3 linked regions of the Macaca mulatta genome follow. The protein of the gene in region 2 purifies or fractionates together with the protein of the main gene of each other region. This does not show direct contact. Links are inferred from orthologs where the notes say so. Each region holds a gene or a part of one and is shown on either strand. Other genes may lie near its edges.

Region 1 (10,893 bases), on a different chromosome or scaffold from region 2:
GTTTTTAAGTTCCATGTGACCTTGAGCATTCAAGTTAAATAGTAACATGGGATAATTAGCTTTATCAGACTAACCCGGGATCCTATGCACCACTTAGAGCACTGCTTCTATGAGGAAATTTACTCTGAGTATGAACTATGACAAAGTTCTAATTTGTACTAACAAGACAAAGCCTTATCCCATCCTTAACTCAGCATAGCCACAAACGTAGGCCGAAAGCTCCTTGAGCAACAGAGGGTGGGAAACATGTGCCTGATACATCCAATAAGAGAAAGATCACACCATGGGGCACCCACAGCAGTGGGCAATAACAGGGTCTCAGGTATCTCTTGGCAGTGAAGAAGAGAAGCTCTACTTGTAAGAGCAGAAAAGCTTTGTCTCTAATGAATGAGATACCAACGTAAGATTATACCATTTAAGGCTGACAAATGTCTCAATTTCCCAAATGAACTAGCATCACTCAATAAACAACAGCAAGACCATTCAGTAAAGCTTAATAGGTAGCATGAGAAGATCAGCATTAAAAGAACAGGCTGGGCACAGCAGCTCACACCTGTAATCCCAATACTTTGGGATGCTGAGGCAGGAGGGTTGCTTGAGCCCAGGAGTTCAAGACAAACCTAGGTGACATGGTGAGACCCTATCTCTACGAAAAATTTTAAAAATCAGACAGGTGCGACGGCACACGCCTGCAGTATAAGCTACTGGGAGGCTGAGGCAGAAGGATCACTTCAGCCCAGCAAGTCATGGCTGCAGTGAGCTATCATGGCGCCACTGTATTCCAGCCTAGGTTACAGAGTGAGACCCTGTCTCCAAAAAAAGAGCAGTGAGATTGCTCATCATTTTATAATAAACATCAACTTATTTTTTCCAAACTCTTATCTATGTTCTTTATGACAAATTAATTGCTTACCAGTTTTGTTTCAAGTCCAAATATCGAATGTTGACTCCTTCTTTAATAGCTTCATAGTTACTTTCAGATCCCTACATGAAAATATCAGTAATGTAAGCTTGAGTGTAGGAATGATTTATTTTCACCTTTATACCCCTAGCACCTAGTGAAGTGCTTCACCCATAACTCAGTTGATGAATGAATAATGTATACATTTAAAAAAATTGCTAAGTAAACCAGTACATTCCAATATTTACAGAGATTGACTACCCCATTTCCACTTAATCTGATAACTGTACATTATGTTGTTTATTACACTGAAATGTGTTGAAATAAATAATTAACGGAACCAGCATTATCATACAACCAGAGCGTGAATTACAGAGATGAATATTATTGTTTCTTACCCAAATAGCATCGGTAATGTTTTCCTTCAGGGCTCTATTTATATCCCAACTGTATGCATGTTTTTCTGAAGAATCATCTAATTCCCATTTACTGATGTTTGAACTTGTCAAGCTATAAAAGCTTGATCTCTCACTATCCCAAAGAACACTTGAAAGCTATTCAGAAAAGAAAAAGAAGTCAAATTCATAGATTAAGTTCTAATGTTAAGGAAATATTGTTTTAAAACTCAAATTTCACATATGTGATTAGTAATCCTAGCAGAATTCTTCCTTTGGGATTTAAAGAAAGGAGTAATCCTGGGCCAGGTGTGCTGTCTTACCCCGGCAATCCTAGTACTTTGAGAGGCTGAGGCAGGTGGATTGCCTGAGCTCAGGAGTTCAAGACCACCCTGGGCAACATGGTGAAACCTCATCTCCACTAAAATACAAAAAAGTAGCCGGGTGTGGTGGCACACGCCTATAGTCCCAGCTACTTGGGAGACTGAGGCAGGAGAATCACTTGAATCCAGGAGGCAGAGGTTGCAGAGGTGCCGAGATCGCACCATTGTACTTCAGCCTGCTGACAGAGTGAGACACCATCTCAACAACAACAGCAGAAGTGATCCTGAAATAGAGTTTGAGGGCAACGTTGGACTCTAGAGGAAGAAGGATACAGGCGGAAGGCCCAGGAGGAGCAGAGCTGAAAGGTGGGAAAGTTACAGCGTCTTTAGAGAATAAGAAGTCATCCTCTAACATCGGAATGTAGATGACAAGTCAAAAAGAAGCAAAAATAAGGATTTTTTGAAAAATGAGGCCAGGTGTGGTGGCTCATGCTTATAATTCCAACAGTTTGGGATACCAAGGAGGGAGGCTCACTTGAGCTCAGGAGCTTGAGACCAGCCTGGGCAACATAGTGAGACCATGTCTCTATTTTTAAAAATAAATAAAAATAAAAAATAATGAAAAATCAGGGACATACAGCAGAGAGTGTTGAATGTGAATTTGTAAGTGTAGCAAGCCAGGGAGATATTATCAATAGCTTCTGAACACAGAATTGTGTTCGAATGCATTTGGCAGAATGTATGTAGTCATACACAAGAGTATTATTTTGCCTTTTCAGTATATGCTTAATCATGAAGTATAGGTATTTGGCTTTTTAAAGCTGGATATACATGATTGCTTTGTGTTAAAACCCATCAGTGATGGGGCAGAAAGGTCAACAGCAAGCAAACTGAGCAGGTACCAGGAACTTAGGTGAAATTTATCAAGAATATAGGTTAGGGCATAACATCAAAAGCAGAAAGATGGGGATGGAAACCAGACTAGACAGAAGTTAAATCTACAGCACCTGGTAAATAACTAGTTTGCTATAGAAGGAGAGCGAGACACAAAAAATAACAAGGTTTTATACCTGGGTCACTGAGAAAAAGTGATGGTGCTCTTAACAAAAACAGAGCAAAAGAGAAATGAGTTTTATAGGGGTGAGCAGTCAATAGGAGAGATGAAAGAATACAATAAATTTGTTTTTAAACATGTTAAGTTTAGGTTTAAAGAACATTCAAGGAAGCAGGTGATGATAATTATCTGAAACAAGAGGGAAACAGCACAGTAAAAAGAGCAGGCCTGGGTATGATTCCCAGCTCTGCCACTCAGCAGTTACACACCTTCCCGCTGAGGGTGCTTCCTCATCTGTAAACTGGAGGGAAAGTGCACTATCTTACAGGTTGTCACAATGATTACACAATATGAATATAACAACTACAGAGCACCGAGCAGTGAGTAGATGGTCCATAAATATTAGTTCCCATCATCCTCCCTTCACTATACTAGAGTATGGGGCAGAGAAATCCAACCAACAGATCTAGATTTCAGTCATCCACACAGACAGCTGGAGGCATGGCAGTAGAGACACGCTTCCGGTTAAATCTAAAAAGTCAAATTAATCTTTAAGAAACACATTTTAAATTTTACATAATAGTTTTAGTTCCAAAAATGTTCTTGTGAGATAATCTGATTTAAAGATATTAGTGTTACAAGTTATGGGAGAAGGTTAGTATGAACTCATTTCATCATAATAAAAATAGTTCACTAAAAAGATCAAAGGTTCTATTTTGCATAAACTATTGTCCATATGGAGGCAACACTAACTTCAGAGCATACTTTCAACTTACTGATTTAACTAAGAAATAAGCTTGTAAAATAGTTATTTTATAAACTTACTGTGAGATCACTACTAGGAGATAAAATTCCAAAAAGAGAGGAAACCTTTCGACCAATTCCTGAAAGCACGCCTTGCCCCTGAGGCAGGACATGCTGATGAATCTTTCCTGAGCTCTCAGGTATCAACCGAATTAGTTGGCTTCCCGACGAGGACAAAATAAAACTTCCTCCCTGTGAAAAAATAGGAGATTAGTTCAGTTTAGCATCTAATGCTGAGATAAAGAAAGCTAACAAAAAATTCTTTGATACAGAGAAAAATCATTGTAATTGAAATAAATCTAAAAGAATACAAAATAGAATGTTGTTATTTTATTAAAGTAATACATTTCAGAATCCATTCAGTTGATATCATTAATCCTACATAGAAAAACTCTCTAAGAAAAAAGAAAAACTGGCCGGGCATGGTGGCTCACACCTGTTATCCCAGCACTTTGGGAGCCCAAGGTGGGTGGATCACTCGAGGTCAGGAGATTGAGACCATCCTGGCCAACAGGGTGAAACCCCGTCTCTGTTAAAAATACAAAAATTAGCTGGGTATGGCGGCACGCACCTGTAATCCCAGCCACTTGGGAGGCTGAGGCACAAGAATTGCTTGAACCCACGAGGCAGAGGTTGCAGTGAGCTGAGATTGCACACCGTTGCACTCCAGTCTGGGTGACAGAGTAAAACTGTGTCTTGAAAAAAGAAAAAAAAAAAAAGAAAAAAAACACAAAACTTCTGTAGCAGAAAAAAAGTCCATGTTTTTTAAATTCTGATTTTTAAACTACAAGCTCATATTTCAGATTCAACAAATTAGGTTATCAGATTTTATTTTTATTTATATTTTTTGTCTGCTATTTTATCAGAGACAGGGTCTCGCTCTGTCACCCAGGCTGAAGTGCATTGGTGAGATCATAGTTCACTGCAGCCTCAATCTCCTGGGCTCAAGAGATCCTCTTGCCTCAGCCTCCTGAGCAGCTGGGACTACAGGCACACATCACCACGTCCAGATAATTTTCAAATTTTTTTGTAGAGACAAAGTTTCGCTATGTGGCACAGGCTAGTCTTGAACTCCTGGCCTCAAACAATCCTTCCACTTCAGCTACCCAAAGTGGTGAGATTACAGGCATGAGCCACCATGCTCAGCCAGATTTTGTTTCTTTGTGAACCTACAAAGAAGATAATGCAAACTATTCTTTATAGTGTCTGATGGTGGCTTAAAAACAAGCCACTCTCATAAAATGTTTCTAAAAGAAATGCATATCACAAACTACTATCTGAAATTGGTATTTTAGAGCCCTGTGAGAAGAGCCTCCCTCGTCTAACTGTTCAGATCATAGATCCTTACATTCTTCTCTTCCTTGTCTCTTTTTGATTCCTCCCTGGTCTCTACAGTCTCTTCAAAACTCCACATTTTCAGTCATCAAATCTCATTTCTACAGCTGGGTGCAGTGGCTCATGCTTGTAATCCCAGTATTTTGGGAGGCCAAAGCAGGAGTTATTGCTTGAGCCCAGGAGTTTGAGAATTGCCTGGGCAACATAAGGAGATCTGGTCTCTATTTTAAAAAATAAATAAAAATCTCATTTCCAAGCCAAATCACAGCTTTCCAATAAATATAAAGGAATATCCATGGTATACCTGCACTGCTGTTAGGAAACTGTAAGTCTTATCACCTCCTGAATCAACAAAAGTCTCTGTGTAGGTATCTTCACTAGCAAGGCTTGACCAATAGCGGATGGATCCTTCTCTGGTGGCAACCATGACAGCAACAGCCTCAAAACAAGATCATAACAATCGGCAATCACGATACAAGAACCCCAAAACCAGGAGTCTGATGACACTGATATGAAAAAACAGGACAATCTACTATTTGATCAAGAAAAATCAGAAATAAGAACTCACTGGGGTTTTGGTTTGCATTTCTCTAATGGCTAATAATGCTGAACATCTCTTTATGTGCTTATTTACCATCCTTATATCCTCACAAAGTGTCCGTTCAAGTCCTAGTCCCTATTTTTAAACTGCATTGTCTTATCAAGTTTTTAGAATTTTAAAAAATATTCGGGATACAAGTCCTTTACTGGATACATGATTTACAAATGTCTTCTTCCACTCTGTAGCTTGTCTCCTCATTTTCTTGTCTTTGGCAAAGCAACGCTTTAAATTTTTATTTTACTTTAATTTTAATATTAATTTTATCAAACTTTTCTTTTATGGATCATGCTTTTGGTGATTTCCAAGAACTCTGTCTAATCTCAGGTCATCATGATTTTTTCCTGTTTTCTTCTAAAAGTTTTACTGTTTTACATTTAGATCTATGACCCATTTCAAATTAATCTTTATAACAAGGTATGAGGTTTAAGGGAAAATTCAATACAATACAAATTGGTCATCTGTAATTTTAAAATTACAAATGTTCCTACACTATGCATTGATACAGAGAAAAGTCATCGTAAAAGACCATCCTTTCTGAATTGCTTCTGCACCTTCATCAAAGATCAAATTGGCGCCTTTATGTGGATCTGTAACTGTATTCTCTATTCTGTTACATTGCCCTATGTGTGTGGCTCTCTTTGCCAATACCGCAATGTCTTGATTTCTATAGCTTTATAGTTATGTCTCAAAATCAAATAGGATGATTCCTTCAACTTTGGATGTCCTTACTGTAAAAAGTTTATTTCAATAAGCTTTTAAGTCACCTACCTGAGTAGAATGTGCTTCACCTGAGGGAGCAGAGTAAGAAAGAGCCACTAAGTCGGCACTCCAGTGGAAATCACTAGATGGCAGCTGAAGTTCTTTGCAAACTGATAACTGTAGAACAAACCCAAACAGAAAATCTTTCACATCAAATCCAGTATTTTGAAGATGCATCTGATTTCCCTTCCCTACATACTTTAGATTCTGACTCATTGCTGGAAACACCATTCTACAAATATTCTTTCTTCTCACATCTCCTTTTAATCAGGCTTTCAGTAATTTTAAAACAAAGTATCTTAAGAGATATTGAATCATGAAAACTTAAAGCTAGACCAAACTCTGAAGAACAACTATCCTAACCTCTTCCCCGGCTAGAAAAGTCCACTCAAGAGAAGGCTAAATAAGGTTAAGAGAAGTACTTAGGCTTCCTATGGAACTTTCCCAATCTACTATTGATTTGTTTATTTGACATTTAAAATTAGCACAAACAAACAGTAATTATACCAAGTTACCTAGGAAATATTTCTTAGACTCTCAGCCAAATATCAGGATCCCTCAGCTAACTCAGTATGTCCCCTAGGACTTCTCCCTCACCTATTACTCCTAACCCCATATACCCTTTTCTAGACAGCAGTAACACAGTTCAGCAGAAGTGAAGAGTTGAGGTAAGCAGGAGCCCTGAGTTCCAATGGAACGTGGCCAAGTGAGTAATGAGTGGTGGAAGAGAGTAGTGCATCTAAGCTGTAACGAACAGAAAAAGGTCGCTGAGGATAAGTTACTAGACATGCAAATGATAACCCACTGTTGGAAGTGGACAAGTGAAAAGTTTAACTAGCAATTAGTATCATATTTTCTTATTTTATTAAGTATTATTCAGTAGGTTCAACAAAACATAGTTCTATCTTCTCGGAAATATGCAAACTCAAAGTTCATTTGCTTATATAGGTGGCATTTAGTCTGATACTTTATTAGGCAGACGGATTAGCACAATATTCATTGAAAATTTCAATGTCTCTAATTTTATTAAATGTAAACATAGATCTTTAAAAGGGGGAAACTTTTTTCCCAATATACAAATGTGTATGCATGCTCATTATTTCACATCACTATGAAAATGCAAACCCTTAACACCTAAGTAGTTTCATATTAACTATCCTCCAACTGTAAAAAAATTACGGTAAAAATTAAAAGTCAATTGGCATTCCTCTCCTCTATCTCCTTCCAGCTCTCTGAAGAGCCATTACCTTAGTAATAGGTGACAGAGCAATCTTCCAAATAATGAGCTTCTCTTTGCACACCAGACAAGCCCATCCACCTTCATCTATGTTAACAGTCAGCTGATCATCGACTAAAGGAAAAAATGAGGTGAGTGACTAATCATATAGTATAAATCTTTATCACCACACACTTTATCAAAAAAAAAAGTAATTGGCACACTCAGAAAGGACTAATTCACAACAAATACTTTTGAATATTCCAAAATTATCAACACCAAAAACAACAAATCTATTTAACTCTGATAACCAGCTTTAGAAATATATCTAATGCCTGTAATCCCAGCACTTTGGGAGGTCAGGGTGGATGGATCACAAGGTCAGGAGATCGAGACCATCCTGGCTAATATGGTGAAACTCCATCTCTACTAAAACTACAAAAAATTAGCTGGGTGTGGTGGCACATGCCTGTAGTCCCAGCTACTCAGGAGGCTGAGGCAGGAGAATCGCTTGAATCTGGGAGGCAGAGGTTCCAGTGAGCCAAGATCGCACCACTGCACTCCAGCCTGGGCAACAGAGTCAGACTCCATCTCAAAAAAAAAGAAATATATCTAAAGGCAACAGTTGTATTTGGGACATTTAATATTCCTTAATTTTTTGTTACAAACAGACCAGATACCTTATTTCCTGTAAGTCATATTTAGGCCAGGCATGGTGGCTCAAGCTTATAAATCCCAATACTTTGGGAGGCCAACGTGGGAGGACTGCTTGAGGCCAGCCTGGGCAACAAAGTGAGACCCTATCTCTTTAAAAAAAAAAAAAAACAAAAAGAAAACAAAAAAAAACCCAGCCAGGTTTGGTGGTGCACTTCCCAGCTACTAGAGTGACCGAGGCACAGGAGGACCACTTGAGCCCAGGAGACTGAAGCTGCAGTAAACCATGATCACATCACTCCCACCTGGTCAAGAGAGCAAGACTCCACATCAAAAAATAAATAAACGGAAACAAAAACAAAAAAAGACTGGGCGAGGTGGCTCACGCCTGTAATCCCAGCACTTTGGGAGGCCAAGGTGGGCAGATCATGAGGTCAGGAGTTTGAGACCAGCCTGGCCAACATGATGAAAACCTGTCTCTACCAAAAACAGAAAAAAAAAAGTAGCCGGGTGTGGTGGCGTGCACCTGTAATCCCAGCTACTCTAGAGGCTGAGGTAGGAGAATGGTTTGAACCTGGGAGGCAGAGGATGCAATGAGCCAAGATCGCACCACTGCACTCCAGCCTGGGCAATAGAGCGAGGCTCTATCTCAAAACAAACAAACAAACAAAAAAGAAATATTTAGCAACATTTATATCGATAAATAATAAACTCATTAACTATATAAAACATTTCAAGGAAAATAATGTTCCTTCAAACACACATAATTTTCAAATAAGAGCTCCTTAAAGAAATGATAAATTATTTATTATATGGAGACAAAGAGTTTCATTCTCTATTAAGTGACAAAACTAAATTAGCATACGTCTTAGTATTGGTGGTAAACCTCCACAAACGTGTTAACAGCCCTGGAAATTTTATTAAGTCGAACTTTGCTCTTTAAAGAAAGGTAGAAGGGCGAAGTAAAAGGCACAATGTACAAGCGAAAATATCAAACCAAGCCCAGGCTGAGTGAGGACTTTTTGCTCAACTGAACTATCTGCTCAGTAATTTCCTTTTTCTTGAAAGCACTACAACGACTCCAGATCTTCAACTGGTGTGCCCTTAAGGGCTGACTTAACAGTAGTTGGCAGGTTTCTAAGTGCGGAAGAGTTCTTCAAGTTGACATATCTCTTTGTTTTATATATTCGGACTCCTAGGGACTCTGAATTTCTAGATATGGGGCTGTGTTATTTAATCTAGTCTGTTAAAATAGCAGGAGTACATTAAAAGGTTTAAATGTAATTTAAAATGAAATTTTTAGAGGAGAAAAATATACATATATATATACACAATATGTATATTTATTTAAAACAGAACAATGTATATAGAGGTTGGTAGTTTAGTTGTCTGAAAACAACTATCCCTAAAGCTCCCAAGGACCTATAGGCAAGATGTGCAAGTTCCAGCTGATGAGATATATTCCTTCTTCTAAAACAGAGTACTTTCAGCTTTTTTTTTTTTACTGTCAACAGTAATATATACAGTAAATAGAGTTATTCACAGTGTAATACATTTTACATCATGATACACCCATATACAATTTAAGTAAAACAAACAAAAATTTACTAAACATTATATGAGATGCATTCTATTTCTTCTTTTTTTAAATGCTGGTCAAGAACCGCTAAATTTTGGTCACTCCTACAATTTGAAAAACACTGTTCCAGAAAAATCACAAAGATCTAGAATTCAATCCTCAATAAAAATGACTTCAGCAGATATTAAGGATGCTCTGAACTTTGCTCTTTCAGTGTCATCCAACTGTTCATCTTTAAAGTTGCCTAAGCTTGTGTTGATTGTATCTGTCAAAATTCCACACTAATTCTCTGCCAACAGACTCTTCTAAAGGTACACCACCACAATGGTAACATCATAAATTTGTGCACACAGCCTCTGGGATGCTACATAGGATCCAGAAATAGAGGTAGGACTTGATTTTACTATATTATTAAACCCAATAACATAAAGTGCCAGTTTTGGGGTTTTTTTTTTAACGGTAAACTTCATAAACTTGATCAACTCTTCAAACAAGACTGAATTTTGCATATACAGTATTTCCCCCTTTTATCTGCAGTTTCAAATACCTGTGGTCAATTGCAGTCTGAAAATATTAAATGGAAAATTCAAATGAACAATTCCTAAGTTGTAAATTGCATGTTGTTCTGGGGAAAGTGATAAAAATCTCATGCTGTCCTGTCTAAAGGTTGTGAATCAACCCTTCGTGCAGCATTTCCATACTGTATACACCAAGCTTGTCCAACCCACGGCCCAGGGACACGTGTGGCCCAGGACAGCTTTGAATGCAGTCCAACACAAGTTTGTAAACTTTTTAAAACATTATGAGATTTACACACAGATCCATTTATTTATTTATTTATAGCTCATCAGCTCTTGTTAGGGTAAGTGTATTTTATGTGTGGCCCAGGGAAGCCAAAAGATTGGACACCCCTGAGACTATCCAGCTGTTTGTCACTTAGTAGCTGTCTCAGTTACCAGATCAACTGTTGCAGTAATGCAATGCTCGTATTCTTATTTAATGACCCCAAAATACAAGAGTAGTGCTGGTATATTGTTATAATTGTTCCACTTTATTAGTTATTGCTATTCATCTCTTAACTGTGCCTAATTTATAAACTAAACTTTATCATAGGAGTGTACGCATGAAAAAACACAGTATATATAGGGTTTGGTACTATACAAGGTTTCAGGCATCCACTGGGGAATCTTGGAAAATATCCCTCAAAGATAATGGAGGACTAGTGTACAGTACCTAAAACCATTAGACTTAATTTGATTGTGTTCAAATGAA
Region 2 (10,893 bases):
TTCAGGCGGGCCTCTTTGACACTGCCATATCACTCTGTCAGACTTTTAAGCTTCCCTTAACACCAGTCTTTGAAGGACTTGCCTTCAAGTATGTATAAAATTATCTTTTTATAGTCTTTTCTAATGCAAATATATTATCCTCTTGCTTAGTGTGAAGCAGTCGTCATAAGCCAAGTAGCCTGTATACCATTTGTGGTTTGAAGAAGTGTTTTGTTTAATCCATCCAAGCATTCTTAAAAAGAATTTCAGCCGGGCGCCGTGGCCCATGCCTGTAATCCCAGCACTGGGAGGCAGAGGCAGGCAGATCACCTGAGGTCAGGAGTTTGAGACCAGCCTGGCCAACATGGCGAAACCCCGTACCTACTAAAAATACAAAAAATTAGCAGGGCGCAGTGGTGGGCGCCTGTGATCCCAGCTACTTGGGAGGCTGAGGCAGGAGAATCGCTTGAACATGGGAGGCGGAGGTTGTAGTAAGCCAAGATCACGCCATTGCTCTCCAGTCTGGGTGACAGAGCGAGACTGCATCTCAGGAAAAAAAAAAAAAAAGAAGAATTTCTTGGCCAGGCACTGTGGCTCACATCAGTAATCCTAATACTTTGTGAGGCTGAGGTGGGTGGATCACTTGAGACCAGCCTGGCCAACATGGTAAAACCCTGTCTGTACTAAAAATACAAAAATTAGCCAGGTGTGGTGGCACACAACAGTAATTTCAGCCTCTCAAGAGGCTGAGGCACAAGAATTGCTTGAACTTGGGAGGCGGAGGTTGCAGTGAGCTGAGATCGCGTCTCTGCACTCGAGCCTGGGCAACAAAGCGAGACTCTGTTTCAAAAAAAAAAAAAAAAAAAGTTTGTGAATTAGAAATATTTTGAACTTTCAGAATTTTTCAGCTGGGTGCAGTGGTGTACACCTGTAACGTCAGCACGTTGGGAGGCCAAGGTGGGCAGATCACTTGAGGTCAGGAGTTCGAGACCTGCCTGGCCAACATGACGAAACTCCATCTCTACTAAAAATACAAAAATTAACCAGGAGAGGTGGTGCGTGCCTGTAATCCCAGTTACTTGGGAGGCTGAGGCAGGAGAATCGCTTGAGTCTGGGAGACGGAGGATACAGTGAGTTGAGATTGCACCACTTCACTCCAGCCTGGGCAACAGAGTGAGACTCCATCTTAATTAAAAAAAAAAAAAAAAGAGGCTAGGTGCGGTGGCTCATGCCTGTTATCCCAGCACTTTGGGAAGCCAAGGCGGGCAGATCACGAGGTCAGGAGATCAAGAGCATCTTGGCTAACATGGTGCAACCCCGTCTCTACTAAATATACAAAAAATTAGCCAGGCATGGTGGCATGCGCCTATAGTCTCAACTATTCGGAAGGCTGAGGTAGGAGAATCACTTGAACCTGGGAGGCAGAGGTTGCAGTAAGCCGAGATTGCGCCACTGCACTCCAGCCTGGGTGACAGAGTGAGACTCCATCTCAAAAAAAAAAAGAAAAGAATTTTTCATCATTAATTTTATCTTGGAAGTAAATTGTCTCTTAATGCTTACTGATGTCCTTGTAGGTATCCAGTAGTGTGACTTGAGGAAGAGATGATTCAATATTCCAGTAGTGAATTCAGCAAAATACTAGAGATGAAGTTTTCATCTTATCTCTCTAGTTTTAGTATCAAATTAAAGTGGTACGTTTCAGCGTTCAGTTTTCAAGTGTGGAACTATTTTCATTTCAGATGCATAAAATTGCAATTTGGAGGAGAGGCAGCACAAGCAGAAGCCTGGGCCTGGCTAGCAGCCAATCAGCTCTCATCTGTCATCACTACTAAGGAGTCGAGGTACAGCCCTGGTGTTCATCCAACTCTGGGTGGTTCTGCCTTTCTCAAAGCTGTAACTGTCTTTCTCTGATTAAATTGTCCTACATAGATCATTTCACTTTTTTCTTTCTTTTTGGCTAAGTTTTTGTAGGGGCTGTAAAGTTTATAATTAAGGTGACATCATGTCATTTATTGTCCAAACTAGGATGTCTTTGCCTATGAAATGTCTCCTCCATAACCCCCTCCTCAAAGACTTATTGTATCATATCAGGAAAGGGTAATCTTACACGCAAAAATCTGTATTTACTTGGTTTCAGAGTATTATCCTCCTTTTTTCTCCCATTACTTCCATTGAGCAGTCACTGCATGGTGTCGTCACAGTGTCTTCTTTTTTTTTTTTTTTTTTTTTTTTTGAGACGGAGTCTCGCTCTGTCGCCCAGGCTGGAGTGCAGTGGCGCGATCTCGGCTCACTGCAAGCTCCGCCTCCCGGATTCACGCCATTCTTCTGCCTCAGCCTCCCGAGTAGCTGGGACTACAGGCGCCCACAACCGCGCCCGGCTAATTTTTTGTATTTTTAGTAGAGACGGAGTTTCACCGTGGTCTCGATCTCCTGACCTTGTGATCCGCCCGCCTCGGCCTCCCAAAGCGCTGGGATTACAGGCGTGAGCCACCGCACCCGGCCCACAGTGTCTTCTTATAGCTTGTCTCCAGCTGCTGTTCAGCAGTCTGTCACCCATCAGCCCCCATCATCCACCATACCTTCTTCAGATCTCCTCTGTTCGTATACTTCCCCAGTGCACCCACTTAGTGTCCACGTAAATGTACTTCAGCTTCTTCAGAAACCTTCTCTAACATCCCTAACCCTCAGTAAGCTTCCCTTTCTGAACTGCATTTGCACTTGGTATTATACAGCTTAGCACTTTAGAGTGATAGCATTTTAGAATTTGGAAGTTCTCTGACATTAGTTTTCAACCCCTAAATTAGCACATCAGAATAACTGATTAAAATACGTATTATGAGAAATCACCCTAGTCTTCTAAGTTAGAACTTCTGCATGATTCTAATGCTTGATCAGGTTTGCGAACCAGTGTTCTGAACCACTTTCTTGTTTCATAAATGCAGAAACAAAGGAGTTAAATGAATTATGTATTAATAGCCAAACAAATACATTTGTTTACTAAATACTTTTGTTTACTACATACTAAATACGTTAGTGGGAGAGGAATATATGAACCCAAGACATTTAGTTTCTAGTACTATCGCCTAAGTCACATTAGCCCGAATAATATTTGTTCCCATTTAGCTATATTATTCAGTCGTGAATGTCTAAAGCTTTCCTTGTAAGGCTGGGCATGGTGACTCCTGCCTGTAATCCCAACACTTACAGATCACTTTAGCTCAGGAGTTTAATATCAGCGTGGACAACATAGCAAGTCCTTGTCTCTACAAAACATAAACAAGATTAGCCAGGCATAGTGGTGCATGCCTGTATTCCCATCTATTTAGGAAGCTAAAATGGGAGAATCTGGGGCAGAGGCTGCAGTGAGCTGAGATCACACCCCTGCACTCCAGCCTGGGTGACAGAGCAAGACCCTGTCTCAAAACAAAGTTTTCCTAGTAAATACATGCTTTGAATGGTACTCAAAATAGCTATTAAGAATCTGAAACTCATTAGTCATTTTTGGTTTTTTCAAGTGCTACAGATGAAGCATGGCGACTATTATCAACTTACCTGGAAAGGTACAAAGTCCAGAATAACTTGTATCACCACTGTGTAATCAACAAGCTCTTGTCTCATGGAGTGCCTCTACCTAATTGGCTTATAAACAGTTACAAGGTAAGTGGATTATAACTTGTACAGAGTAAGAACCCACTCTTTGTCATTCTGGATAATTTCATGAGATGATTAAAAATATGACTGCCATGGCTCATACCTGTCATGCCCACGTATTGGGAGGCCAACAGGGGAGGGTGGCTTGAGCCCAGGAGTTTGAGACCAGCTCAGGCAACATAGGGAAACCCCATCTCTATTTAAATTTAAAAATATATAAAGAAAAAGAAAAAGATGGGGTGATAACTTATGGGAACATATTGACTTATGTACTTTGAGAAGCTTTTCATCATAGCTAAAACCATAAGAACAATTCAGGTTCATTTCCACAGTACTACTGTGTATTTAGATTTGAAGTTTCATAGGTTAGTAATTAGGTTAATGACTACTATTATATTCACTGAACAGTGAGTTTATATTTAGAACAATGAGCATATGCATGACACAGGATTTACTATTCATACCTCAAAAAACCCACAGGAATGGGTGGAGTACTTTTCAAATAATGTAACAGTATGGCTGGTCTGAGTGCAGTGGTGTTCACAACTAATTGAGCACAACCAGTTTCCAATTGGTTCCTTCTCCACTCCCACTGTTTCACCTGACTATTAAAAATCAAACACAGGTTCTTAGACTGTCTGCATCAGAATTATTCAAATGGCAGGCTTCTTCAAAGTACAGATTCCTCATCCTAGATTTATATAATCAGATTATCTCAGGCTAGGAGCCAGAAATCTATGTTTTAAGAAGCTCCTAATTTGATTTTGATGCATGCTAAAGTTTGGGAACTTCTGCATCTGAACCACCTTGAGTAGGATAAGGAAAGAGAAAATCTAAAGGTTAAAATCAGGAAAGTTTTTTTTTTTTAAGGTAGAAAGGAGGCCGGGCGCGGTGATTCACACCTGTAAACCCAGCACTTTGGGAGGCCAAGGCAGGCAGATCACCTGAGGTCAGGAGTTCGAGACCAGCCTGGCCAACATGGTGAAACCCCATCTCCACTAAAAATACAAAAATTAGCTGGGTGTGATGGTGCGTGCCTGTAATCTCAGCTACTCCAGAGGTGGAGGTTACAGTGATCTGAGGTTGCACCACTGTCCTCCAGCCTGGGCGACAGACTCTGTCTCGAAATAAATAAATAAATAAATAAATAAGAAAATAGGGAAGGCAGCTAAGATGGTAAAGGTAAGATTGTGATCAAATCGGAATATAGAAAGCATACTTAATTAATAGAGCTCTTCCAAATAGAGACTTCAGATTTAAAGTTGGTGATTCTTTGAACTTATTTTGCGTTTGTCATTCATATATTTCTTATTATGTGAATATATTGTCACTTTAGTATTCAGGAAAAGTTTATTGACTTTACAACTGTGGAAGCTGAAGTGGAAAGAAGTTAAAGTATGTCTTAGGTCATAAAACAGGGGAAGAAGGCTATTTAACAGATAGGGCCTCCCAAACTGCCTAAAAGTAACGGCTCTTAGGAATTCAACTTTTTTTTTTTCCTAACTCCCCAGATTTGTTATCAGCTCTTATCCTAAGATATAGATGAGTAAACCAAGCCACTGGTTTAATTATGTTGAGAAATACAAATGTTAGGGAATCAGCCACTCAGCGTTCTTTGGTCAGTACTAAAAATTCTTAATCACCGACTTTTCACAGAAGGTTGACGCTGCTGAATTACTTCGTTTATACTTAAACTATGACCTTTTAGAAGAAGCTGTGGATTTGGTGTCAGAATATGTGGATGCTGTATTGGGTAAAGGACATCAATACTTCGGAATTGAGGTAGGCATATACAAATGGTCCCCAATTTACAATGGTTTGACTTATGATTTTTCAACTTTACAATGGTTTGAAAGTGATGAACGTTTATGAGAAACCATACTTTAAAATACTCATGGCTGGGCACAGTGACTCACGCCTATAATCCCAGCACTTTGGGAGGCCGAGGCGGACAGATGCCTGAGGTCAGGAGTTCGAAACCAGCCTGGCCAACATGGTGAAGCCCCGTCTCTACTAAAAATACAAAAATTAGCCAGACGCGGTGGTGTACACTTGTAATCCCAGCTACTCAGGAGGCCGAGGCAGGAGAATCACTTAAACCTGGGAGGCAGAGGTTGCAGTGAGCAGAGATCACACCACTGCACTCCAGCCTGGGCAACAGAGCGAGACTGTCTCAAAAATAAATAAATAAATAAACAAAATACTCATACAACTGTTTAGTTTTTCACTTGCAGTACAGTATTCAATAAGTTACACAAGATATTCAACAGTGTATTATAAAGTAGGCTTTCTGTTAGATGATTTTGCCCAACTTTATAGGTCAATGTTAAGCATGCTGAGCATGGTTAAGTAGGCTATAGGCTAAGCTGTGATGTTCATTAGGTTAGGTGTATTATATGCATTTTCAACCTATGATATTTTCAACTGATAATGGGTTTATTGGAAAACAAACCCATCATAAGTTGAGGAACATCTGTATAGTTGTATATATAGATATATATAGATAGATAGATAGACATAGATATAGATATATATATATATTTTTTTTTAGCCGAGTCTTGCCCAGCCCCCAAGCTGGAGTGCAGTGGTGCAACCTCCGCTTACTAGCTCACTGCAGCCTCCGCCTCCTGGGTTCAAGTGATTCTCCTGCCTTAGCCTCCTGAGTAGCTGAGATTACAGGCACCTGCCACCACATCCAGCTAACTTTTTAATATTTTTAGTAGAGACAGGGTTTCACCATGTTGGCCAGGCTTGTCTCGGAACTCCTAACCGGAAGTTATCTATCCCCCTCGGGCTCCCAAAGTGCTGGAATTACCCACAGGAGCCACCACGCCCGGCCTAGGCATTTCCTTTTATTACCATGCTATGTAAGGTGAGAATCTGAGAGTAAATTGAATTATATATTAGTGTATTTAACCATTACTGTCTGTAGTTATACAACTAAATATTGACACTCTAGGAGTCTCTAGTCTCCTGTTTATAAAATAGGAATTTCATCTTTATCAAAATAATATGGCATTAGGATTCAGTGGAGAGAGGTAAACAAAATGGTATTGTGTGTATGCCGGGACTGTGTTAAGTCTCTACAAGCATTTTCTTATTTAATCCTTATAGCAGCCTTATGAGGGATGTTTTAATTTTATATTTTTTAACCCATGAGGGAACAGGCTTAGAGGTTAAGTTATCACAGGCTCACACAGATGGTAAATATAATAGAAGAGCCAGGTCTAAATAGGTGTAGTTAACTACAGCTTCAACCCTCATGAAATCAGCCAGGTGCAACAGCTCACACCTGTAATCCTAGCACTTTGGGAGGTCAAGGTGGGAGGATCATTTAAACCTAGGGGTTCAAGACCAGCCTTGGCAACATAGAACCGATATCTACAAAAAATAGAAAAAAATTAGCTGGTCACGGTGGTGCATGCCTGTAGTCCCAGCTATGTGGGAAGCTGAGGTGGGAAGATCACATAAGCCCTGGAGGTTGAGGGTACAGTGAGCTGTGATCATGCCACTACACTCCAGCCTGAGTGACAGAGTGAGACCCTGTCTCAAAAAAAGAGAAAGTTGACATGAAATTATTATTATTTTTTTTAATTTTTATGTTTTTTCCAAGATGGAGTCTCGCTCTGTCACCCAGGCTTGAGTGCAGTGGCACGATCTCGGCTCACTGCAACCTCCATCTACCGGGTTCAAGCAATTCTTCAGCCTCAGCCTCCCGAGTAGCTGGGACTACAAGTGCCTGCCATCACACCCAGCTAATTTTTGTATTTTTAGTAGGGATGGGGTTTCACCATATTGGCTAGGCTGGTCTCGAACTCCTGACCTTGTGATCCGCCCACCTTGGCCTCCCAAAACGCTGGGATTACAGGCCCAGCTGACAAGAATTTTTAAATACATTTAATTTAACCAAAAAAATGACAAGTTTCCCAATTGGAGAAAAGAGGGTTCCCATTGTGTGCGTGCACATGTATACACACAGTTTCTTGTGGGGAAAAAAAAAGCATTTTATTTGGCCAGGCGCAGTGGCTCACTTTGGGAGGCCAAGGCAGGTGGATCACTTGAGGCCAGGAGTTCGAGACCAGCCTGGCCAACATGGTGAAACCCCATCTCTACTAAAAATAAAAATAAAAAAATTAGGCATGCTGGTGCACATCTGTAGTCCAGCTACTCGGGGGAGGCTGAGGCACAAGAATCGCTTGAGCCCAGGAGGCGGATGTTGCAGTGAGCTGAGATCGTGCCACTGCACTCAGCCTGAGCGACAGAGCGAGACCGTCTCAAAAAAAAAAAAAAAAGGGCATTTTATTCTACAGAGTCCTATGAAAGCAACTACCCAGAAGAAATGGTACACTTTGCAGACTGTTTTCAAGTAAACATTTTCCTTTTAGTTTCCACTGTCCGCAACAGCCCCAATGGTGTGGCTTCCATACTCCTCTATTGATCAGCTTCTCCAGGCTCTGGGGGAGAACAGTGCCAACAGTCACAACATCGCAGTAAGTCAGCCCTTTCATGAGATGTCTTCTGTAAGCCCCTGCACAGCAGTTACACCTTCCAGCTTGATCTTCAATTCTCTGGGATTAGAAAGGGAGGGCAAAAGCCTAGTTTTGTCCCTTAGCAAACTGCCCAATCCCTTTATAGATAAGGCAAAGGATCTAAGCAATAGGGTCGAGAAAACGTAATGAGGAACTGTGTAAGTGTTAATTATACAGAGACAAATGGCAAGCAGTCGGTCTATCCTTTCAAGGGTTTAGTTTGGTAGGGCAGACCCTACAGGGTAAACAGGTACTTGAAATACAGTGTGATAGGCCGGACACGGTGGCTCACACCTATAATCCCAGCACTTTGGGAGGCTGAGACAGGCAGATCACCTGAGAGGTCAGGAGTTCGAGACCAGCTTTGCCAACATGGTGGAACCCCGTTTCTACTAAATATACAAAAATTAGCCGGACATGGTGGCGGGAGCCTGTAATCCCAGCTACTCGAGAGGCTGAGGCAGGAGAATCGCTTGAACCTGGGAGGCGGATGTTCCAGTGAGCCGAGATTGCACCACTGCACTCCAGCCTGGACGGCAGAGTGAGACTCCATTTCCCCGACCCCCCAAAAAAGAAAGAAATACAGTGTGATAAATTATCACTGTCCTGAGGGAAGTTGGCATATATAACAACATTTCTCAGGAGTCATATATTTGCTCTGCTTGCCTTAACATAAAAAACAATAGTGTTTCCTTTGCTCAGAGTCATTATAGTGATGGCTTATTTTGTTTACCAGTGAGATAGAGTGCCTCCTGATCCTATCTAAAATATTAGTTCTCTATTTCACTTGGCAGCTAATAACTAGTTACATCAGATACAGCACCTCTGGTTCTAAGAAAAGAGCTAGTGATCCTTTTATTAGAAATACTGGTATAATTTCCATACTTAGAAAATTCATTCAGAAAATGAGATTGAAATGTTGTATGTAACAGAGAGGCCTAGTTTTATCAGTAGGGTCACAGAGGAGAATCCTATACCAAATGGTGATTTTATGAAGCAGAGTGGCTAACATCTTTATAAGGTGGAATCTGCTTGTTGAAGTCAAAGTGATTAATAACTTCAATCTTTTTCCATTGTTGAGCTATTCTGTAATGTTTTCCTTCTTTTCTCTTATAGCTGTCCCAGAAGATACTTGACAAATTGGAGGACTACCAGCAAAAAGTTGATAAGGCAACACGGGATTTATTATATCGTCGGACCTTGTGATCTGGATTGTTACCTAGCCTTTGTAACCGCTTGGTGCCTCTTAGGGCTTAAGACTACCCTACAGGAACCCTGTACTCAAGGCCAATTTTTGTAACTCTAAATGATGTGTACAACATTCAAGTCTGCATTCTGCACAAGATAGGAGGGCGGAAGAGTCAGAGGACCCTGTGCTTGCTGGTGGTGCTAACACAATTTCTGGTGTTGAACCTTGGTCTCAAATAGCTGCTTTTGTATATGATCCACAAGCTTTTTTAGAGTTTATATTTTTTTAAACTACCGAAGACATTCATTATCTGCAAATTAAGACCCATGTTCACTTTCCAAAATAGCTGAGGGTTGTTGGCTTGTTGTAGCTGACCACCAAAAGCAGTCACTGCAGATCTTTTAATTCTTCCCTATCACCTTTTGTATTTTAATGCAATTATTTTGGTCCAGAACTGACATGTATTTTCTGTATTGTACACAAAGGCTAATAATTTTGCATACTCTTATTTATTTTGGAGGTTTTGTATGATCTTCAATCAAGTATTAAATAATTTGCCTAATTAAGCCTAAAATGATGACCAGCTAATTAAAGAAAATATTTTGAATCTGGTTCTGAGCTAAAGTTAAGTAAATTCTTAGCTAAGAAAAAATTGGAAATCCATCATCTATATTAACAACAGATTCTCAGAGTAAATTGTTAACTTCTATGATTTATGATAATCAAGCTGGACTTGATCATACAAGTTAGTCTCATAATGTATTGGACCAAAATATAAACTTCATTGGTCAGATTCAGAAGCATTTATGCTCACAAGTTTTGTGAAAGTGAAAAATAATAAAATCATCTTGGATTTTATTCTATATATTAAAATTTATCTTTTAAGGAAACAATCTGTATACTACTTGCTTGTATAGCCTTTTGACCCTTCTTGAGTTTTTCATAAGCCTTTAATTTTTATACTTTCAATACCATATTTACATTATATGTTTTAATTAACAATGTGAGTTTCTCTGTGGTGCTGTTGTTGGTAGATGCTGAGGTGTATGATTCTTTTTTTTCATTTTAGCTCTACTATGATTAATGTGAGGCATTTGGTGCAATTAGGGACTGGGAGAGCGCCTGTCCTCCCAGCTCTCTCAACCTGTGGCTTTCAACAACAGTAAGAAAGACATTTTGACCTATATACACATATATAAACAAAAGTTTCACAAAATTTGTATCCTCACCTACTGTGTATCCTGATGTTTTCATGAGTGACTAATGGATCATAACCCATAGTATGAAAACATCAAGAGCCAGGCGTGGTGGCTCACTCCTATAATCCCAGCACTTTGGGAAGCTGAGACAGGTGGATCACTTGAGATCAGGAGTTCAAGACCAACATGGCAAAACCACATCTTTCAAAACAAAAATTAGCTGGTCGTGGTGGTGCGTACTTGTAGTCCCAGCTACTACAGGGGCTGAGGCGGAAAGATGACTTGAGTCTGGGTGGTAGGGGTTGCAGTGAGCCTTGAGCATGCCGCTGCACTCCAGCCTGGGCGA
Region 3 (10,893 bases), on a different chromosome or scaffold from region 2:
TTCTTGCTGAAGGTCAAGTTACAGCCTGGATTCAAATACGTTTTGGCTGCAACATGTGTGCTCTTAGCTCCCTCTGTCCTGTTTCTGGCCTTTGGTAGAAGGTCCTGAATTGCAGGGGATAGATTTAGGAATTACTGGTTTATAGGTACTGAAACCATGAGTGTAGAAACTTCAGTGTCTGTGTGAATCATCTGGGGATCTTATTAAAATGCGTATTCTGGCCGGCCGCAGTGGCTCACGCCTGTAATCCCAGCACTTTGGGAGGCCGAGGCAGGTGGATCATGAGGTCAGGAGATTGAAACCTGGCTAACATGGTAAAACCCTGTCTCTACTAAAAAATACAAAAAAAAAAAAAAATTAGCCGGGTGTGGTTGCGGGCGCCTGTAGTCCCAGCTACTTGAGAGGCTGAGGCAGGAGAATAGCGTGGACCTGGGAGGTGGAGCTTGCAGTGAGCTGAGATCCGGCCACTGCACTCCAGCCTGGGCGACAGAGTGAGACTCTGTCTCAAAAAAGAAAAAAAAAATGCATGTTCTGCTTGTGTAGGCCCCGGGAAGGGGCTGAGATTCTGGATGTCCCAGAAGTTTCCAGGCGACTGCAGACCACACAGTAGAAGAAGGATGTGGATGAGATTGCTTAGGGTGATTGGATGGGTGAGAAAGGTCAAGGAGAGAACCTTGAGGTGTGTACCAGCTTGGTAGATATTTTAGGAAGAATGTTGGGGTGAGAAGAAGGTCAAGCACAAAACGCTGGAAGCGCCACTATTTTAGAAGAAGGTAGTGGAAAGGTGGGATGGGGAGATCTCTCCACCCAGTCTCCTGCACTCAGGGTTTCGTGCTGCGGTTCTGTCCGGGATATTCAATCTTAGAAGAACCTAGTAGAAAACTCTGATCTACCACTGCCTTCATTATCTCTTATTCTGTGTTTCTACGTAAAGAAATAGAATTGCAAAGATGAAATAGCCTTTGCATAGTTTCCTTTTGTTATCACCTAACTCAATTCCTGCTGGGCGCAGTGGCTCACGCCTGTAATCCCAGCACTTTGGGAGGCAGAGGCAGGTGGATCACCTGAGGTCAGGAGTTCGAGACCAGCCTGATCAACATGGTGAAACCCCGTCTCTACTAAAAATACAAAATTAGCCGGGCGTAGTGGTGCACACATGTAATCCCAGCTACTCAGGTGGCTGAGGCAGGAGAATCACTTGAACCCAGGAGGCGGAGGTTTCAGTGAGCCGAGATCGCACCATTGCACTCCAGCACAAGAGCGAAACTCTGTCTCAAAAAAAACGGAAAACCTAAAAAACCTCAATTCCTGTTACCAGCTTTACTTTTTTATTTACACTGAAATACTTAGGCAATGCATTACTCTTTTCCTAAGAAAGGTGTCAGTGGCTAATAAATCAAGACCTTATTCCTTTTTTTTTTTAAATGAGTATTTTAATTCAGTTTCAAAAAATGGTACATGACTTTGATGAGAAAGTATAAAATTAAGAAGCTGTTCTGGAAATCCAAGAAAAAGAAATAACAATATGTTCAGTGATAATTTTCTGGATTTTCTTCTTGTGTCAAAAGCTATATATTTTCTCCTCACAAGCAGCTGCTCCAAGAACTAAGTAGCCCTCTTTATCTCCCTCTAGCTGGGACAGACTAATTCCCCTCCCACCACTTCTCTTCTTTCATTAACACTGCGTAGGTGTTAATGGCCTGGGCTCTCAGCAAAGACCAGAATTGTCCTTTAAGCCAGCAGCCCACAGGCAGTGGCACCCAAAGCCTCATCCCCCATCCCCAGGGCAGAAGCCACAGAGCTGGCATTGTTTCCACTGTTTCAGAAGAAGGAGCCAAGAGCTGACCCTCAGCACAAATCAAAGCCCAGTATGGAGAGAGAATAACTGCTGCTAGGCCGAGAGTAGGCAAGCTGTGGGCAAAAAAGGGGAGTTTTTGCAGCCACCCCATTTTTAGAAACAAGGGGAAAACTAGACCCTTTTCCACGATTATAATCTACAAGGTAGTCTACTGCTCCGCGGGGATCTGAAAGTACAAAAGGATCTAAACAAATAAGGAGAACTTTTCCCAGGCTGGAGATAGGAATGACAAACAGAAAGATGGGTGAATGTAACGTGTAGGAAGATGATGCTGGGAACCTCCGTTCTTCACATGGCTGCCAGCCCCATAGAGGACAACACAGTAAGAACCAGGACAGCCACTCCAGACTGGTATACGTGGGGAATCTTGAGGCCTTTTCCTAGGTCCCACATCAAGTGTCGGATCCCATTCCAGGTGTGATACGTGAGAGGGAAGACGAGTGCAGACTTAGCTGTGTGGATCAGTGCTGGCCCCAGACACAGGGACTTCACGAGTTCCAAATAAGACTCAAAGTTCCCGGGGAGTAACAGGGCCGGCGTGCCAAAAAGAGAGACTCCTGCACTGAAAGCAATACCAGTGCCGCGGCAGCAGATGGACATCACCACGGGAAGAGACCAGCTGTAGATAGTGATGTGGGGAGACACAGGACGGTGTGAACCTATATTATTATTCCAGAACCGCTCTTATCTCTTCTTTTGCCGTGGTTCCCACGGGAACAGCATTTCTGATACAGAGCTGAGGGCCAAAGTGGGCTTGGAGGTAATGACAACCAACACGTCTCAGCAAGAGTGCAGCCATCTCGGGTTTCTTTTTTTTTTTTTTGCAACAGAGCCTCACTCTGTTGCCCAGGCTGGAGTGCAGTGGTGTAATCTCAGCTCACTGCAATCTCTGCCTCCTGGGCTCAAGCCATCCTCCCACCTCAGCCTCCTAAGCAGCTGGGACTACGGGTGTGCACCACCACGCCCAGCTATTTTTGTGTTTTGTGTAGAGGTGGGGTCTTGCTGTGTTGCCCAGGCTGGTCTTGAACTACTGGGTTGAAGCATTTCTTCCACTTCAGCCTCCCAAAATGCTGGGATTACAGGTGTGAGCCACTGTGGCCAGCCAAGACCTTATTCTAGTTAAATTTTTATTAAACCATTTCAAGCTCAGTGTACATTATCAGAGGAGGAAACATGGGAGGTTGTATTAATTTCCTAGGGCTACCATAACAAATTACCACAAATCAGGTGTCTTAACACAGAATGTATTCCCTCAGTTCTGGAGGCCGGAAGTCTGAAATCGAGGTGTCGGCGGGGCTGTGCTTCCTCTGGAATCCTTCCTGGTCTAGTCCAGCTCCTGCTGGCTCCAGTTCTTTGCCTTGTGGCAGCAAGACTCCAATCTCTGCCTCTGTGTTCACATGGCCGCCTCCTCTGTGTCTCTACGTCTCTCCTCTTCTTTTTTAAGGATACTTACTGCACATTGGATTTAGGACCCACCCTAAATCTAGGATGTCATTCTGAGGTCCTTAATTACGTTTTCAAAGACCTTTTTTGAATAAGGTTACGTTCACAGGTTCTGGGGGTCAGGACCACTGTTGAGCCCACTACAGAGGTGAGCGCTACATGACTGTGAGCAGTATGAAAAAGGTGCGATGCAGTGATGTGTGCATCTTTGTACATTTTATTTCTAAAATGTTTAAATTGTTTGTTTTTCCATTAGGAAATATGCAAAAGCTGAAACTCTTATGACAGTCACTGATCCCGTTCATGATATTGCATTCGCTCCAAACTTGGGAAGATCTTTCCATATTCTAGCAATAGCAACCAAAGATGTGAGAATTTTTACATTAAAACCTGTGAGGTGAGTTTTCGAAGCATTTATGAATTTGAAAATACTCTTGCCTCCTGATTACCTTTGTTTGTGGAGGAGAGAGTAGAGGTAACTATGATTTGGTTTATATTTCTGCTCTGGAAGTTTTACTTAAAAATGTAAACTCTGAAATATTTTTAAAAAATGGTCTTTTACAATTACTTTTAAATTAATGTCATTTTTGAAGAATGGATTATTGAATGAACATTTTATATATAAATATATGTCTTTTTGGAAAGAGGAATTGAGTAAAGAGTAGATTTATATTCTCTTAATTGTGCTTTATTTAGGCTAATACTAACAATTCTCCCAATATAACTGATATTCTATAAATATTTAATGACAAGTGGCAGTCTATTTAGGGAAAACTAAATTAGTATTGATACAGTCTTGTGAATAACATATTTAACTTTAATTTTGAATTGTGAATTCCAGTTCTTTTCTTTCTGTTCTTTCATTCTTTCCTACTTGCTGCCCTGCCCTTTTTTTTTTTTTTTTTTTTTTTTGAGGCAAGATCTCGCTTCATTGCCCAGGCTGGAGGGCAGTGACATGATCTTGGCTCAGTGCAACCTCTACCTGCCAGGTTCAAGCAATTCTTATGCCTCAGCCTCCTGAGTAGCTGGGACTACAGGTGCCCGCCACCACGCCTGGCTAATTTTTTATTTTGTATTTTTAGTAGGGACGGGGTTTCGCCATGTTGGCCAGGCTGATCTTGAACTCCTGTCCTCAAGTGATCTGTCCATCTTGGCCTCCCAAAGTGCTGGGATTACAGGTGTGAGCCACTGCACTTGGCCTTGCCCTGCCTTTTAAAATTAATTATTGTCATCTGTTTTATTCCTCGGCCTTGTGTGGGAGAATAAAATCATCCTGTTTTGTTGTTTCTTTCTTCCATGAAACAGTCACTGAATATCGTTTATGTGCTGGGATCACTCCAGGCCTTGGCGAGTTAAATGGAAATGACATTGGCCCAGCTCAAGGGCCAAGGGTGGGGTTTATGCAGATGAGTACATTATTATAAAGTGATGTGGTGGTGAGACCACTTGTACTAATTTAGAATTTTATATGTGTGTGTGTGTGTATTTTAAAACTTTGCTTAGAATGCCTCAGAAAATGTTTTTTATTAACAGGAAAGAACTGACTTCCTCTGGTGGGCCAACAAAGTTTGAAATCCATATAGTGGCTCAGTTTGATAATCATAATTCTCAGGTCTGGCGAGTGAGTTGGAATATAACAGGAACAGTGCTAGCATCTTCAGGAGATGATGGCTGTGTAAGATTGTGGAAAGGTAAGATTTCAGTGGAGGGGTAATTGTTGGTTTATATTTCTGCTCTGGAGTTTTTACTTAAAAATGTAAACTCTGAAATATTTTTTAAAAATGGTCTTTTACGGTTACTTTTAATGTCATATTAATTTATGTTATTTCGAACATCAGTTTACCTAGTTCATAGCAGTTAATCACTGAATTGTTTTTCAAGTTATATGGAACAGAGCAACTTTTAAAACTAAAGTAATTACTACAGAATATGCAGTATCTCCAGTAAAAAGATACCAGTTGTCATATATGTACCTTACTTGACTGCTCTACAGACTCAGGCTAGGACTATAGTCGCTCTTATTTTATCAAATAGATTACTTTAGACAATCAGTCCTTAATAGGAGAAAATCCAGTATCTTCCCTGCTTTGTGCAAACGTTAAGAGCCTTGGGGCCCTGATTGTAAGCTTTTTATAAGTGCCAGGCTGAGTGAGAAGGTCTGGACAGTTGACACTGACTGTGGTCTCTGTAGCGTGGTTCTGCACTGCTTTTTGGATGATTATCTGTTGGGCAGAGATTTCTGTGATTTGTGCACCACCATAATGAATGGTGTCCCATACTTAGCATTCAAAATTATAGCTGTCTTAGTTTATTTACTCTTTAGCAGTTACTGTTTCCCAAAGTGCAGTTTGGGTAAGCTTGAGGGCCTCCCATGTTCGATTTTGGGCTTTGGCAAAACCAGCTCAGACCTTCCTTTCTTCAGTGTAATTTGATTTCAAGGGCTTTGTTGTCCTTTTCTGCCTCTGGGCTTTAGTCTGGACCACCTTGCCATGCTCCCCAGCAGGCTGCCTAACTTGATTTTCTTGGGCTCATTGTCTTCAGAGACCAATTTTGCATTCAAACTAATAAGGCCATTTTGGATAAGCCACTCAATCTCCATCCATTTCAGAAGACATTAGGTACCCATACAACTTATACTTGCATAATTAAGAAGACAATTTCATTACCTTACATATGTAAGTGAAATTCATTATAATGAAGACTTTAATATTATAATGGAGATTTTAATATTAATTTCATAATGTGATAATACGGTAGCTCAGAAAATTGTCTCTGCTATTATCTGTAACATGGGTGGTGAAAGCTTTATATTTTTAAAGTTATTGATACTTTGAAAACTTCTAAAAATTTGTTAAAACTAAGACAATATGTCTTCCATTTAAAAAGTGTCTTTAATGTTTATCCTGAAAGAAATGTAGCCCCTAGCCTCTCCCTCATTTCTTTAATTGTAGTTTAAGGACATGGGTACGGATTTGTGCCCTTAGGCATTGGTATTAATCACGTTAATGTATTTGATTATTTTCCTTTCAGCTAATTATATGGACAATTGGAAGTGTACTGGTATTTTGAAAGGTAATGGGAGCCCAGTCAATGGGAGTTCTCAGCAGGGAAACTCAAATCCTTCCCTAGGTTCAAATATTCCAAGTCTTCAGAATTCATTAAATGGATCTTCTGCTGGCAGGTAGGCTGTTCATGGGAAAACTGGAAATTCTCTTTGTTTTAAATCATTCTGGTAGCTCTACTTAAGGTGGATTATTTCCTGGATTATAAGATGGAGTGGAAATGTTCACATGTGATTATATTAGCATTTAAGAGTTCATTTCGTTACCTCTGTATTTGGCTTACTTGGTCATAACATTTGCAGGTAGGTTATGAGGTCATTACATTATATTCTGAAGCTTTAGTGGTCTATCGGTAGAAATGTTACAGGTTTAAGATTCAACTTCACTTCTGCAACAGTGAGAGGAAGGTTATCTGGTTTAATAGTGAGGGTTTTAGTCCAAATGAACATTAGTGTTTTTCACTGCTTGTAGTGTGGTCTTTGCATTAGGTCAAACTGCAGTTTTAAATAAAATACATTTATTAAGGCTTTTTAGAAGAGAGTACATTAAATTATTTGGCTTTTGTGTTTAAAGTTTAATGGAAATAAGAGGAAATAATAAAACCTGAGATTGATTTTTAGAATAGTTAGCGTATGTTACATTCTTGTGTATCATAATAAGGAATATTTGATGTCATCTAAAGAGTCATCCTTTTGTTTTCATGTTCAAATTTTAAATATGTGAATTTGTAAGATAAAATTATTTTAATATGTCTTTGTGAATAATTTGGGATAGAATTCAGGAAACGTCAAAACACAGCCTAATGGACTGTCCTGTTGTTATCCTAAATAAAATAAGAAAATTGTATTTAAAATTTCAGCTATTTTTATATCGTTATGTTTTTATAAAGAAGTCCTGCTTTTGATTTCGAGGTTTTAAGTATGTGCATCAGAACGATTTCAGGTTACCGTGGAAGATACCAGATTATAAAGATTATTTCATGAAACAAATAAGTAGAGTTGATTTTTTAAGGCTGGTTCTTGGTCACTGCCTGTACTGCGTATTTTCTTTTGTAAATAGCTTCTGTTTTTTGATCTGTATTCTTATTGTGCCGATAACCATCTGTGTTAGATCTGTGATGCATTTCCCTTTTCCATTTGTATTATGTCCTTTAACAGAAAGCACAGCTGAGTACAAGCTAACTGGAGTAGCTTTGCTGTTTTGCTGCTTGTTGCATGCACACAGGAATGGAAAGCGAGCTCCTCTTCCCCTTCCCCAGCGCCGTTTGACCTCTCCCAAGATACACCAGCAGCCTGCTTACTACTAAACGCAATCCTAAAGGCCTTTAAAAATACAGTGTATATTTTTTTGTACTAGTCAGTTTATTGACACTATTTGAAACTTTTGAAATATAAATGGAGAGGCTTTCTGTTGAGACATTGTCACCAAAACAATTTTTTGAAATATTCCTGAAACTAATTTGGGTTTAAAGATTAAAAGGGTTGTTACCATTCTTATCTAAGTAGTTGGGAGGAGGGGAAATATCACTTTACTTCATTTGGAAAATATAGACATATTTCTTTTGCTTTCTTAAAACAGCTTAAAATGAACTTTTATAATTTTAATTTGAAGATTGAATAAATATTTTTTATAAAGATTGTTTTGAGTGATTTACTTTTTGTAGAATTGCTTTATACATGACATTCAGTACAACTCTGTCATTTCCTTGTAGTATTTAAAGAATATTAGTAAAGGAGTGAATTAGTAAAGTAGTAATAGTAAAATGAAGGAACTTGACTGTACAGTTGTAGCCAGGTTAAGCATTTGGTATTGTTTCATTTACAATTTGGAAGTAAGATGGAAACACTTTTTTATAAGTTTTTAATTCATAGTCACTAAAGAGATAAATGTTTCTTATATACATTTGTATATTTTTATGGTGTTATTTATTCCATGGCTTAGTTTCCTTCAAATCAAAATTTGGACACACACTATTAAGAGAAGCCATTAAAATTTTACTAAAATTGTGCATGTAAATTAATGTCAGCATTCCATGTCTCAAGATTTTCTTAATTTAGTTGGCTGTTTAAATTAGTTCATATCCTGTAAAGCTCTGACCTTGATAACAAAGCTATAAATATTTAAGCTTGCTAAAATGTGTAAGTGTTACGGGTAAGTTACAAAATGGAAGAAGAGTAACAGTAGGGCACGGTCATTCTGTGAGTCCTTTCACTTCTCAAAATTTGGTAGCTATCCTAAGGCTTTTGCAGAAAAATAAGTGTTCAGTGTTTGTAGTTGTTCAAACGCATGTTGCAGTAGCCAGCCATACTGTGTGTGTTCCCAGTATCATGTATGCACTAAAAAATGTGTGCTTGCTGCTGTTGTGAGTGAACCATTGCTTAAGAGAAAAAGCTTATTAGATTTGTAAATGTACAGAATAGCATCAGATGTTTCTGAGAGATTAGAAAGTGTTTTGAATTTATAAAATTAATGTTTTTCTTTGTAACATTTATATTGATTTTTTTTGACATTTTAAGTTTAACAGATTGTATTCCTTTCAAGTTTCTATACTTGCTTAAGCAATCTTGATTTGAGTAAGGGTCTTGATTTGTGCTATTATGTTCTGTTAGTTTTGGCATGAATATACTAAAGCTTTTTTTTTTTTTTTTCTAGCATGTGTTTTTTCCTCTTTGGTTCTCTCTGTATTTACTACTTTTCTCTTTTTCTTGTGTTTTTTTTTTTTCCCTGTTTTTGTTTTGTTTGGTGTTTTGTTCCTGTCTTCATTGTTTCAGGTATTTCTTTCCCCCTCTGGATTCCCCACGGGCTGGATCGAGATGGTCCAGTTATGCCCAGCTCCTTCCTCCTCCTCCTCCTCCTCTGGTAGAGCACTCTTGCGATGCTGACACTGCCAACCTCCAGTATCCTCACCCTCGCAGACGATATCTCTCTCGGCCTCTTAATCCCTTACCTGAGAATGAAGGGGTTTAAAACACTGATTTAACATTGAAAGGCCTTATTCAAGTGCTTGTAAATGCTTTCATTTCTGGCTGCTTTTTGTTTTTCTTCACTTTCTTTCAGAAGATTTTTCTAACTTCGGGTCTGTCTTGCATGTATTACAACTGGAATACGGTGTTTCGAACCTAAATCTGTTTGTGCGTCTCCATCAAAGGAACGTTGGCTTCACTGGGTGATAACCTTTGATGAAATGAGATATGTCCAAGTAACGTTAACTGTGAAGTTACACACAGTAGCTGACTTCAGAGTGCCTGTTTTGTAAATTTTATTTTGAACTGTTACCATAGTCTTAAGTTGTTTATGCTTTATCAGACTGGCTAATGTGAAAGCATATTCTTACGAAGCTGATTCTGTCTTTGAGACCTTAGAAAATGGATTTCATTTTACAGGCTAATGTTGCAACTGACTAGTATGTAAAATAAATCATTCCTGTGTATAAAGCAGCAAAACCCAATGTGGACTTTTTGGTCTTTTTTTTTTTTTTTTTTTTTAAAGGAAATTGCCTTTCACTACTTGGAATTACTGTTTAAAGCTTTTGTAATTATTATCCAAGTAGGTTATGTAATAAAATATATTGTAAAATACACAAATCTCTTGCCTTATAAAAACAGAATGTATTTTATTTAAGATAGTTGCTAAGGCTTACTCTCCTTTCACTATCTCACAAAAAACCCAAACAAAAATTAGGAGATGTGAGCAAAAATATTACATTTATTTAAAAGGTAGAAAGTCAGTATGTAGACTAACATTTAGAATGCACAGATGTTGACTTTCAACCTAGTCAGTCAACATTAGAATATTTTCTAAAATATTTTAAGATGAGAATGTACTTGATAGAAATTGTGATAAAATGGTTAAAACTAGTAATATGCTTGTTGGTTCAGTTCTGTCAGGAATTGTCAAGGGTTTAACCTCTTATCAGGGCTAGAGAGACAGAGGTGCTCTGAACAGTATTTCATGTGTCTTATGAGGTAATCACATAGGTGACATAATTGTTATAACTATTCTAATTTTCAAAGACACCTTTCCTTGAATACTGTCATATCTCTAGTACTTCTTAATATGCAAAGGATTAAGAGCTATTCATTTTATTTATTTATTTATTTTTTAATTTATTTTATTTTATTTTTTTTTTTTTGAGACGGAGTCTCGCTCTGTCACCCAGGCTGGAGTGCAGTGGCCCGATCTCAGCTCACTGCAAGCTCCGCCTCCCGGGTTTACGCCATTCTCCGGCCTCAGCCTCCCGAGTAGCTGGGACTACAGGCGCCCGCCACCTCGCCCGGCTAGTTTTTTGTATTTCTTAATAGAGACGGGGTTTCACCGTGTTAGCCAGGATGGTCTCGATCTCCTGACCTCGTGATCCGCCCGTCTCGGCCTCCCAAAGTGCTGGGATTACAGGCTTGAGCCACCGCGCCCGGCCTATTTTTTTATTTTTTAAGACAGGGTCTCACACTGTTGCTCAGGCTAGAGTGTAGTGGCATGATCATGGCTTACTGCAGCCTTGAACTCCTGGGCTCAGGCAATCCCCCGACCTCA

Evidence for each region.
Region 1: the proteins of NUP160 (region 2) and NUP133 purify together in Homo sapiens (co-immunoprecipitation; 4 studies listed by BioGRID and IntAct, with this or other methods). This does not show direct contact. The link is inferred for Macaca mulatta from reciprocal best matches to the Homo sapiens genes NUP160 and NUP133.
Region 3: the proteins of NUP160 (region 2) and SEH1L fractionate together in Homo sapiens (co-fractionation; 3 studies listed by BioGRID and IntAct, with this or other methods). This does not show direct contact. The link is inferred for Macaca mulatta from reciprocal best matches to the Homo sapiens genes NUP160 and SEH1L.

Annotation. Positions count from the first base shown.
Region 1 is NC_133406.1:19,541,470-19,552,362, reverse strand, and holds part of NUP133 (nuclear pore complex protein Nup133), read right to left. Parts: intron 7,524-10,893; coding exon 7,420-7,523; intron 6,290-7,419; coding exon 6,182-6,289; intron 5,252-6,181; coding exon 5,117-5,251; intron 3,670-5,116; coding exon 3,499-3,669; intron 1,456-3,498; coding exon 1,300-1,455; intron 985-1,299; coding exon 914-984; intron 1-913. UniProt on the Homo sapiens protein: Involved in poly(A)+ RNA transport. Involved in nephrogenesis.
Region 2 is NC_133419.1:17,800,201-17,811,093, forward strand, and holds the end of NUP160 (nuclear pore complex protein Nup160), read left to right. Parts: coding exon 1-88; intron 89-1,718; coding exon 1,719-1,820; intron 1,821-3,494; coding exon 3,495-3,636; intron 3,637-5,286; coding exon 5,287-5,412; intron 5,413-8,015; coding exon 8,016-8,120; intron 8,121-9,275; coding exon 9,276-9,365; 3' UTR 9,366-10,238; downstream 10,239-10,893. UniProt on the Homo sapiens protein: Functions as a component of the nuclear pore complex (NPC). Involved in poly(A)+ RNA transport.
Region 3 is NC_133423.1:83,642,689-83,653,581, forward strand, and holds the end of SEH1L (nucleoporin SEH1), read left to right. Parts: intron 1-1,989; exon of another isoform or gene 1,990-2,042; coding exon of another isoform or gene 2,043-2,477; intron 2,478-2,580; coding exon of another isoform or gene 2,581-2,657; exon of another isoform or gene 2,658-2,790; intron 2,791-3,557; coding exon 3,558-3,698; intron 3,699-4,834; coding exon 4,835-4,992; intron 4,993-6,331; coding exon 6,332-6,482; intron 6,483-7,520; coding exon of another isoform or gene 7,521-7,533; exon of another isoform or gene 7,534-9,134; coding exon 9,135-9,330; 3' UTR 9,331-9,811; downstream 9,812-10,893. Other genes in the region: succinate dehydrogenase cytochrome b560 subunit, mitochondrial-like, read right to left, coding at 2,147-2,477, 2,581-2,657. UniProt on the Homo sapiens protein: Component of the Nup107-160 subcomplex of the nuclear pore complex (NPC). The Nup107-160 subcomplex is required for the assembly of a functional NPC.